3 linked regions of the Caenorhabditis elegans genome follow. The protein of the gene in region 1 interacts with the protein of each later gene in a pairwise test. Each region holds a gene or a part of one and is shown on either strand. Other genes may lie near its edges.

Evidence for each region.
Region 2: the proteins of T04C9.1 (region 1) and ztf-2 interact in a two-hybrid assay, tested with the Caenorhabditis elegans proteins (2 studies listed by BioGRID).
Region 3: the proteins of T04C9.1 (region 1) and zfp-3 interact in a two-hybrid assay, tested with the Caenorhabditis elegans proteins (2 studies listed by BioGRID).

Annotation. Positions count from the first base shown.
Region 1 is NC_003281.10:5,991,629-5,995,382, forward strand, and holds the start of T04C9.1 (Rho GTPase-activating protein 26), read left to right. Parts: upstream 1-1,590; 5' UTR 1,591-1,645; coding exon 1,646-1,799; intron 1,800-1,876; coding exon 1,877-1,972; intron 1,973-2,557; coding exon 2,558-2,847; intron 2,848-3,256; coding exon 3,257-3,356; intron 3,357-3,754. Other genes in the region: T04C9.2 (uncharacterized protein), read left to right, coding at 252-602.
Region 2 is NC_003279.8:7,289,364-7,293,117, reverse strand, and holds ztf-2 (Zinc finger protein ztf-2), read right to left. Parts: upstream 1,847-3,754; coding exon 1,441-1,846; intron 1,277-1,440; coding exon 947-1,276; intron 894-946; coding exon 547-893; 3' UTR 166-546; downstream 1-165. UniProt on the Caenorhabditis elegans protein: Transcription factor. Represses gene expression, probably via binding to DNA consensus sequence 5'-[AT][CT]TTCC[AC][AG]-3' in promoter regions. May play a role in pharynx morphogenesis.
Region 3 is NC_003284.9:1,444,618-1,448,371, forward strand, and holds the start of zfp-3 (C3H1-type domain-containing protein), read right to left. Parts: upstream 2,027-3,754; 5' UTR 1,960-2,026; coding exon 1,872-1,959; coding exon of another isoform or gene 1,843-1,871; intron 400-1,842; coding exon 307-399; intron 260-306; coding exon of another isoform or gene 1-259.

The sequences.
Region 1 (3,754 bases):
TTCCTCCGTCGCCGCTGTCGTCGTTTTTCTTTCCTCTTCATAATCGCTTTCCGTCGACCACTCGAATATTCTGACGTTCGCCGTGCCGCGACTCATCCGTTCGTTTCTATGATTCGAATTTTTTGAGAAAAACTAGAAAGCGTTGATATTGTCAAGTGTTTCGTTTTAGGATATATTCTAAAGACGAAAGGACGGATGCAAGTGTGTGTATGTATTTGTGCCATTGCAATGACGAGAGCGGAGCAAAGAAAATGACGAAGAAGAAGAAGCAGTCCTTCTCTTCGCTCATTCTTCTACTGCTCGTTCTTCCCATATATACTCATTCCCCCCGGAGAATTGTTCTTTTCCGCATTGCTGCTTCCCGTTGCCGCTGTCGTCGTCCGCCTTTCCTTTCGATTCGAATCGGATCGACAAGTTCCAGACGGCAAGAGTCATCCCTTCCATCCATAAACGCCATCACTGTCGTCGTCGTCGTCGCCTTCTTCTTTGAAAAAATGAGAAAAGCTAGAAAAAATGACGAATTGTGTTGGAGTCCTCGTCCTTCTCCTCTGCCTCTCCTTCTTTGGCGATGGCACACAACAGCATGGCCACAACACAAATAACGCGATAACTTTGTTTCGGCTCCTATACAAATTTGGTTATTTTTGTTGGTCGCTCCAACATTTTTTTCGTCCTCATCCGAGCCATGACTTCTCTTCTCCTTTTCCTCTATTTCGTCTCAAACTTCCGTTCTTTTTTACCTAATCATCATTATTAGCCCCATCCTTATCATCTTCTGGAACCCACATCGTCATCTTCGGTTTCTTTCTTTTTGAGGCACAAGCAACAACTACTTTTCTCGCATCTTCTCTCCTCCAGCTTCTCTTCTTTATGAGCCGGGTTAGGGGCTCTTCGAAAATTGTTTCCACTCGGCTGCCTTCGTGTTTTCGACGTGCCCGAACTTGCTCAAAACCGAAGCTCACGCATCGTTAGGTAACGAAAGAATTACACGTAGGAGGGACGCACTGCCGTTTGATTCTTATCTGTCATCGTCAGGATTGTTGCAACCTCTTCAATCCTCCGGATGTGCGTTGATTCCCGCACGATTAGACAATTTGTTGTGAAGGTGTACGCTATGTTTTGTCGTAAAATAGGTCACACTTGGAAGTTTTATTTTGGCAGCTTCATAATTATTCTAATTTATGATGTGATGGATTTTCTTTTTATATTTCATTTATCTGATTACCTTTCTCATTTTCCATATCAATTCTTGCTCGGTTCATCAGCTAATTCCATTGGTAGTGTCAGAATTCATGTAGCAGATAGATAGATACTCATAGATATTCCTTCGTCGCCTCAAGTATCAAGTTTCTTGCTTCTTTTTCTTCTTCTTCTTCTCTTCGCTTGTCCATATCCCCCGCGAGTTCTTCTTTCCTTTTCTTTTAATTGTTTACTTCTTCTCCTCATTCTACTCATCTTTTCCTTCATGTTTCAGAAAAAATTGTGGTATTTTGAGACAATTTTTTCTTTTCATTTCTCTATGTTTGCCTATCACTGAGGCTTTTTCTCTTGAAAATCTCTGCAAATCATTCCAATCAAAAATAATTTCAGGACACCTTGTCCAGTAGACAAAACCCGTCTACTTAGGACTCTGCGCTCATCACAAATGGTGTTACGGGCGCTCGAGTTTTCGGACTCGATATCCGATTCTCCGTGGTTTCGACAAAATTTGCATGATCACGAAGTGGCACTGGACGACGCTTTCAAGAACATCAAGCTCATTGAGAATCAGTGCAAGGAGCTGATTGCGTGCACAAAAAGTATGTGGCTTTTCTCTCTTTTTGACCCTTTACTTTTCCATTTAATCGCGTGGAATTTATAATTATTTTTATTGCAGAGCTTTCAACAGCACAACGAGCATTCGCAAAGACGTTAAGTGAATTCAAGTTTGAAACAGTCGGAACAAATCAGACAGATGATGAACGGTTTATTGGTGAGACTTTTGTTTAGCAAAAATTTATATAAAAAAATACGCGATGTTAAAAAAAAAAGTACAAAACATTTTTATTTTAAAAAAATTTCGCAGTAAAAAAATTAATTTCGGAATTTTATTATCCAGCCAAGAAAAATCGAAATTTGCTGAAAACATGTTTTTAAATGTTTTAAAATTATTAAATTTCAATTTTTTTTAATTTACCATAGTTAAAAAAAAATTTTAAACATTTTTAGGAATAGCAAAAAAGAGTATTTTGCCGTAGCAACCGTTCATTTTTGCCAAATTTTTCAAAGTCATATTTTTTACAATAAAAAAATAGTGTTGAACTCTCTTTTAAAATTTTTTTAATTGTCTCGAATTTCAATATTCCAACAAAGACCTTCGAAATCTGAATTGTTCGTGAAATTTTGAAATTTTTATAAGTTTCCTTCAATAAAAAAATTCGTTTCAGTTTTTTCTCCCAAAAAATCTATCGAAAGTTAACAAAATCCAAATTGCAAGTGATTCTCATTGTAATTTACCAAAATGCTTAATTTTCATAAATATTTTTATTGTCTTTGAAATAATATTTCACATTTTCAGCCACATGTCTAAAAGAATTCGGAAGTCTGATCAATCAAGTCGAAGATGAACGAATGAAACTTGTTGGACAAGCTGAAGAAAGTTATTTGGAACCAATAAAAAAGTTTCGAACTGAGGCGATTGGTAGAACATTGAAAGAGGAAAAGAATAAATATGACAAAGAAAGTAGCAAGTTCTATCAAACACTTGAAAAACATCTTCATCTGAGTACTGTTCGTAATAACGATTTTCGAGCCGCTGATGCCCAATTGGAGACTCAACAGAAAAACTTTTTTCAAGCTTCGTTACAGGTTTGAGTTTATAAAGTTGTCTTCAAATTATAAAATTGGAAAAAATTTGTGTTTTAATTTTCAGAATTAATGAAATTTTGGCCATTTTCTATTTTTAGACTAAAATTTCTTTCTAAATTTTTTTTTGGAAAATCGAAGGAATTTTGGTTTTTCGAATTAAAAAAAATCAACAAAAAAAATTTTTTTTCTGAAATATTGCGAATTTAAAATTTCTTTCAAAAAAAAAAAAACTTTCTGCCTTTTCAGAATTTAAAAAAATCAAAAGTTTTCGTTTTTAGTTTTTCTAAATAGTGTAATTCAAGTTTTTAAGAATTTGCCGTTGGAAATAGTACAATATAAATTGCTATTTTCAGTTAAAAAGTATATTCAACATAATTTCTCAAAAATAAAAAATAAAAAAAATTTACAGTATGTGGCAGAAGTTCAATCAGTTCAAGAACGAATGCGGTTCGAGTTTGTCGAAACATTAGGATCTTATGTTTATTCGTGGCTTTCATTTTTTCATGTTGGTAAGTATTTGTACAGGTAAAAAAAAGTTTCTGAATGATTATACAAATTTTATAAATTTGAATATTTTTCACAAAAAAAAATAGAAATTACTTGAAAAATCAGATTTTCGACAACTTTGTCTCGATTATAATTTTGAAAATAAAACTAACTATTTTAAATCACAAACTTTTCTATTTCACTTACAGAAATTCGGATTTCATGTAAAATTTCGACCAGAATGAAAAAAAAATTAAAAATTAAACAAAAATATATTTTTTCATTTTTTTTCTATAAATTATCGAAATATCATCGAAAATGAAGAAAAAAAAATCAAACTACTCACAAAAAGGCATTATTATTTTTAAATTTGGTTTCCAGACACATCATTTTTTTTTGCATTTTTCTAAAACTTTTTCCT
Region 2 (3,754 bases), on another chromosome or scaffold:
TTGAATAATTGTGATATTTTTACAAAAGGTGGGGAGCAGGTGGCAAAAAGGTGGGCGGAAGGTGAGAAGACCTCAAAAGGTGGGAGAAAGGAGGCACTAAATGCCGAGCAAATACAAATCAATAATATCGCTTAAAATATGAGTTTATGCAGTGGTGATAATACTTTTTTAAACAAGCGTATATTTCCAAATATTCGTAACGATATAAATAAGAACAATCCCGAAAAAAAGAGAAATCGGTGAAAAATGTGATAGAGAAATATGGAGGGATGTGTGATAGAAACATGACTCGTATAGTAGAAACAGATAAGGAAAATAAAATTAGCAAAGAAAATATGAATTCACCAGGAAGCTGAGAGTTGAGACGAGATTCGTATGTGAGTAGATACCTAAGATTTGGGGTTTTTTTGGGGTTTGTGTGCGTGATTGGCTAAGTAGAACAGAAAATATATTGGTTCGAGTATATGAACCTGAGATATTCAAGTAAAGAAGTGATAAATTGTTTTAATTATAAATTTTGAGATTATGGATTCAAGATCTTAAGAATTACATCTCAACGTCAACCATCTCATCTTGTTGAGAAGGTGTAAGTATCGTAGTTGGGATGATTTGTGGAAAAGATGTTGGAATAGTTGGACTATTCAACAAGGAAGATTGTAGGAGAGATGCCAAGTATAATGACATTAATGGATTTGGCTGAAGGCTCAGCAGAGCTGATTGAATGTCTGGAAGGAAAGATGGAGTGACTGGAAGTGTTGGTGACAACAGAAGAGGTGATGATCCAAGTTGAGGAGTTGGTAGGGATGATGTAATAATCGATGCTTCTTCTTCAGGATCTGTCTGAATTCCGCTGTCTGATGAGGATTCGCTTCTGCACGGGGATAATGGAGATGCTGAAAAAAGGAATTTAAATCATGAAATTAAACTATTTAAAATTATGGTTTACCTTTCTCATAAGTTGGCATAACGTTGTAAATCATATCAACATGGGAGCATGGACCATTGGAATGAGCAAGTGCTCCTTGGACATCTTCAAATTTAGCGCCACATCGACAAACACATGGGGAGGTGTTGTGAAGATGGCTTACATGACTGTTCAATACAGATACTCTTTCATCTTCAAATGAGCACAATTGGCAACGATAGAACACTGTTCTCTTTTCAGAAATTATGCATCGATCAGAGTCTGAAGAACACGAAGAATCCATTGAACTGTTGGTGGCATCGAAGACTTTCGAACGGCTGTATTTGGAGACAACACGGATTCCATGAGTTTCTGAAATTATTGAGGTTGGAGAATACATTTTCAGGTATAGCAGAAGCTAATTGATTACATTTCAAAAATTGTTCTAAGCTGCCAAACTTCAAATCTGACAGAATTACAAAAGGTTTAAAGCGAATTCAAATACCTAAAGTAATAGAAAAGTAATATGAACTCACTTGCAACATGTCGAATAAGGTCAGCCTTCCACTTGCTGGTTCTGGAGCAATAACGACACTTGAATGGTCTTTCACTGGTATGAACTCTCTTATGACGAATCATCTCAGACACCCATTTTCCTTGGTAACCACAGGTAGAGCAGGTGCGTGTAGATACATCAGGATCCAATTCCATTTTTTTCATTTCAATCTCATCATCTGGTCCTTCAATTGCTTCTTGTTCACTTAGATATCTCTTTTCAAATGGTTGATCGTCGGCTTTGCGAGCAACAAGAGCATCAAGAGTGTTTGATGGATTGGCTACTTCACCACGTCGTCTTTTACGACGATGTTCTTTTTCAGGTGAGGAAAGAGTTGAGAGTAGAGTGGATACGTCAAGGGCAGTGAGCAACGATTCACAATTCATCTTAAATTTACGAAATTTAAAGAATGCAATTAAAAAGTGGAAATGTTATAGTAAGTTTAGAAATGTTATTTTTTCAGTTGTTAAGTTTGCAGATTCTAATATTGAACCGAGATCAAAAATAAGAAAGAGTAGACCACGAATGAGAAAAAGTAATGAAAAGAAGGTGTGGGAAAATTTGGAGAAAGAAAAAGTATCAATGTACTTGGAACTGGAGGAACATTCTGATATCTATTTTGTCTAGAAAGACGAGAGAATTGGAGATAAGAAGTGGAAAAAGTGAAAGTTGCTCCAAGATAAGGGAAGGGTCACCAGGAAGCAAGCGCCGATTCGGGAAGGAATGGATATGGCAAAATGCGGATGGGGCGCGCGGTACCTTTTCGCTCCTACCACAGTATGTTGACACAAGTTTTGTTGGGGGAAAAAGAGGAGGAGGCCGAAGGGTGGGAGGTCGTCGCATCAGCGAACTGTTCACTTCCGGGGCTGACTGACTTTCACAGCAACAGCAGTAGGAGGAAGAGGATACGTTTACTTTTTACAAAATATCAGCAACACACAACTCTTTCTTGCGCTCGGCCACAAGGTTTTGGTTGGACAAACAGTTCGGTCAGTGAACTCGTTTTGAGCCAAAGCGTACGTGAAGTTGGAGCATGACGTGGCCATATTGAGATCGGATGACCGTTGATGGGAGGAGAAAGAGTTTTGGGAAAGTTATTTGGTATTGGCTCACCTGCTCCCAGTTAGGCATAGTGCTGCAGAGGTACAGGCGCAAAGGCTACTGTAGGTGGATATAGGGGACGGCTAGAAAAATAGAAAAGGGACCGTGGAGATTTTCAAACCCAACTAGAGTATTCCGAGATATCTAGTGCTTACTGTAAGTGAATGCAAAAAAGAAGAGTATGATGTGTATTATGAAGGTTAATTATTGAGAGCGATCATCTTTCGAAAAAAAGTGCACTTTCCGAGCATGAAATTGCCAACTCGGATTTCTAGAGAATTTTTGAAATCCAGGGCAACAAGAACCATTCCAGAAAAGAACGTATTTGAAAAGACTGCAATAGTAATTCTAGACGTCTTGTGGGCTTTTACCAGGCACAGGTAAGTTAGCCCTAAAATGAATATGAACTTACAAAAGTAGCTAGGTGCTTTTTTCTTTTCAAATAAGTGTAAAAACTACGGTAGGCAGTTACTCAAAATATGACGTAGAGTTTAACATAAACCTTACAAATATCAACTCGGGTTTCTAGAGTACTTCAAGTATTTTTGAAATCTAGGGTAACTAGAACCAAAACATATTTGAACATAATTTCAAAGATGACCTTCTTCAACGTCTTCAATGCCTTCTTGTTCCTAATCGTCATCGTCTTCTTCTCTTTTTCAATTCAGGCACATGTTTGCTCAAGCACAGTTTGCGTAACCACCACCATCGCCGCGGCGTCTCCTGCAGCCATTCGGTTTTTTCTCGCGCCCTCAACTTCTTCGAGGAAATCCAAATAGGAACAACCTGGTACAGAATGGTCGGAAAGGACCTCAAGGCGGCCCCGCACAGTTCAAACACATGACAAGCAGTTTTTAGGAGTAAAATGGAGGAAGTAAAGGTAATAGAAGAAGCATCGGTTATAGTAACCTAGATAAAGTAAAAGTGCATTTGTGCTCATTCGCTAGTTTCTGCCAAAAAGAGCAGCACTGTCAGCTCCTCGGTTCCAGGAGGTACCAGTTGAAGCTCTTATCACTTACACTTTTGCGCCGAAAACGTGTGGGCTGGAGGAATCACTTGCTGCTGAGTGTGCAAGTTTCACGAATGGCAACAAAAGGGCAATTGATGCAAATACTTTTTTTTTCCAGATTTTCAGACAAATTGCCTCTCGTTCAAAAATTGAACAATTAAGGGAGATGGTAGTCGTTTTTTCA
Region 3 (3,754 bases), on another chromosome or scaffold:
TAAGAGTGACCATAGTTCCCGGGTATCCATAGTCTTTTTTTAATAATAAATCTCGGTTTTTGTCCGCTTTTAAAATTACATTTTCCCATTTTTCCAAGACCTTTCAAAATTTTGCTAAAGTTCTGGAGAGTTCTATAATTCATTAAAATGTGAATAGTCGTATCTACGCTACATAGAAATAGGGGCTGGGAAAGTGGGAATCGGCGGGTGGGAAGAGCACATCTCCATCTCATTCCCAAGTGTCGGAGCTTCCATGTACCTGAAATGTGATGTTAGGATACAAATTCTAAAGAGTTTTCCACCTACCTCCATATTTCTGCCGCGTTGTCTGATCCTCGGGCTTCACTGGAGTCGTCTTCGATGTGGATGGCGCGGTGAGTGGTGTCGGTACGTAGACTGCTGAAAATTTGAAATTTAAAATTGAATTTGAACTGCCTATTGGAAATTATTAGAATATATTCAAGGAAGATTCAAATTTTCTTGTATTTTTAGAGTATTTTTTATCTAGAATATCTGGAATCTAGCAGTTTCTTGAAAAAATATCCACCGAGAAAAATGTCGGAACGTAAGAAATATGTCCAGAAGTATAACAATTGTTCAAAAAATTCAAAAGCTATCAGATACATGGAACAAAATTTGCCAGATTGATTCCGGTCTACTCAAAAACTCGGTCAACTTCCAGAACTTACCCGTACTTGCCAAAAAAGCTCCAGTGAGTGAGCAAAAGTCTGCAGCTCTTACTGAAGATATAGAACTTCCCTAAAAATGCCAGAAATCTGCAGAAAGTTAACAGAAAGTATTCAAAAGCCTTCCACATTTTCTTCAAATCCCATAATTTTTCTAGACTTTTCCAAACTTCTAGAAATGTTTTCGAAAACTGTACAACCCTTCAGAACTTGGCACAACTTGCCAGATATTTTCCATGCATTCTTATGTCTTTGTGAACTTTGAATGAATTTGCCGTAATCTTGCCCGATCATCACAAAACTTCCAAAATTCTCCAAAAGACCTCAGATCTGTTCAGGACATTTCTGAAATATTAAAAGTAGTCGCAAGTTTCAATCTAGTTTCAAAAAGCACCATAGACCCCCAAAGTTTAAAACGAAAAATTCCAGCTGTACTAAAATAGTCGGATTCAATTTTTCCAGCATTCTACTAGAGGATAGAAAAAAAAATAGGCCACAGCTTCAGCATAGTCAGCAAGTTGTTCGAAATCAGGCCGTTATCACTTTGTAATAATTGTTTCCCTATCCCTTTTTCTCGCGGAACCAGGACACATCTTATCTTCTCTATAGAAAATACGTAGTCACTGTTCTCAACTTGAAATTAGGCCCAAAGAGGGAAAAAGAGAAGAGCGAGAGCCTATCCTAAATGACTTAAGCTTCTGAGCCTTGAAGTGAAAGCCTAATAATCCAAGAAACATAGCTGGTTCCTGCTAGGTAGAAGCTTGAAGTTTTCCTGCTGGTCCCATATAGCCAAAGTTGAAGTCCAAGTCCAAGTATCTTGACTTCTGGATTCTACTGCTCTCAGCACGTCAGAGGTGCTCCAAGATGCCGAGGGCACTTCAGAACCTGAAAATTCGTGTCCAAAGCCCGGTCATCCCTTTCTGGGTATCCGACCACATCTGGGGCATTTCTGTTCCTCACATTATTTTCCTTCATATTGTGCGGTTAAAACAGAACTCTTTATTTCAATTGTCTCTCTGAAAACGGTTTTTTCTTTTTCGCCAACCCGGAACTGTGTCACAAAGAAAAATGAAAGTGCTTGATATCAAGATTCGAGATCGAAGAAATAGGATGAAGTGGAGAAGAAAATAAGGAACTTGCAAATTAGAATTCAAATTCAAAAATAGTAGAATTCCGATGACTTACCCGGAGAGTCGATGGAGGTGTTCGGGGATCCCACTGCTGGCAGGAAGGCGCCGTCCATTGTCTTGGTCGGGGTGTAGACGTCGGCCATTGGAGACGGTGTTGGTGCGGAGTTGAGCTGCTGGCGGCTTCTGCTGCTTCTGCTTTGTGTAGATTTTCTGGAAATTTTGTAAGAGTTTAATTTGAAGAGAATATTAGTGAATTTAAAAAAAAAAGAGGAAAAATCAAAGAAAATTTTAATTTTAAAAAGTTGAGGGAAACTAGAAGAAAACCAGGAGAAAAAACTCGCCAAAATCAGCCTAATACATTTTCGAAACGCGCAATGTGTGCGGGAGAGTGTTTGTGTGAGCGTGCGTTTCCCTATCGATCGTAGACACAAGAGACCCCCGGCAGTCAAATAGTGAGGAAATATCCCGAGCAGGCAGCCAGAGAGTGGTTAGAGATCGCCCGCAGTCGACGAGAGAGTGCAGGTGGCGAGGGAAAAGAGGCACGAGACGACGAGAGCGTGTATCATGTGGGCTGTCGAATGCGACCACTTGGGTCCCTCACCGATGTCTGCATACACACTGACGACAAGTTGCGGAGCGTGTTTTTTGGAGAATAATGGTTAAATGCATATTGGATATTGATGGAAGTTCATGAATTTTGTGAGTTTTTAAAATTTCAAAGCAATTTTTTTTTTGAATTTGAAGCTCAGCCAACCAAAAACTTATATTTTGAGAAAAGTTTTCAATCGAAAGACCATTCCAGAACAGTTTCACCAGAACAGATTCTAACGACTTTTCATGCAATACTAAAAACTAAAAAAGTTGATAAAAGTTTGTCGATGCACCATGATTTTTGCAATTGCTTCAGGAATTTTCAAATGAAACATAAATTTTTACAGATTCCTTTTTGGCTGGGAGCAGATTGTCAAAAAATCGATAAGACTACAGAAAATCAGTGGAGTTCAGGAAAAATAATTGGTTTTTGAAAATTATTTCTAGCTACATATAAGGGAAAGTATTCGACAGACAGGCTACCCGTAAAGACATAAAGCAGGAGTTAAATGGAATTGTGAGGAAAATTGTCAAACGTGCCAATTTGTTGAAAATCACAGAAATCGATGCACTATGATGTTAGCTTACAGAAACTTGAACCGAGTTTACATGAATTTTTTGGTGAAACAGAAATTTTTTCACTATCCTAGTCAACTGGAAGAATACTGTCGTTTTGAATAAATCATTTAAAAATGCCGTTTGAAAATAATCGAATCCAGACAAAAGTCTTCGATTTTGAGCATTTCTCACAAAAAAGTCCATTTTAGAGATTCTATGAATTAGGTTTACTATTTTGAAATTCACAAACTTTGATGAACCATGATGTTTGCTCTTAAATACGTGGACTAGTTTGTCAGAATCGTTTTACAGAAGGAACCTCTCGGATAAAAGAAAATTGTCAAGATAACGTGGAAGTTGCAGGGAACTACCAGATGTCAGGGAAAATTATTTTGAAGGGACTCAATTGACAATTAGTGCATGAAGGCAGACAATACAGGACTCGAATGATACTTTAAGAGAAATTAAAAAAATGTCGATGCACCATGATGCTAGCTTCCACAAATTTGAACCGCGTTTAACAGAAATTTTTGCAATTTGCTTGCCGGATAAAAGAAGATGAAAAACTTCTAGAAACGCCTGAAAACACTTAAATTGGAATCAAAATCCTGGAATTTTCGAACATTTTTCACAAAAAATCATTTCTTTGGCAATATCCTAGAATAATTTTCTGGAAATTAAGTGATTTAATAACCAATTTTTGATATAAAATTATTTATTTAGAGAAACTTTTCTTCTTTAGTAGCAGTTTTGTATGTAATCTTAAAAAAATGACAGTGAACAGTTGTA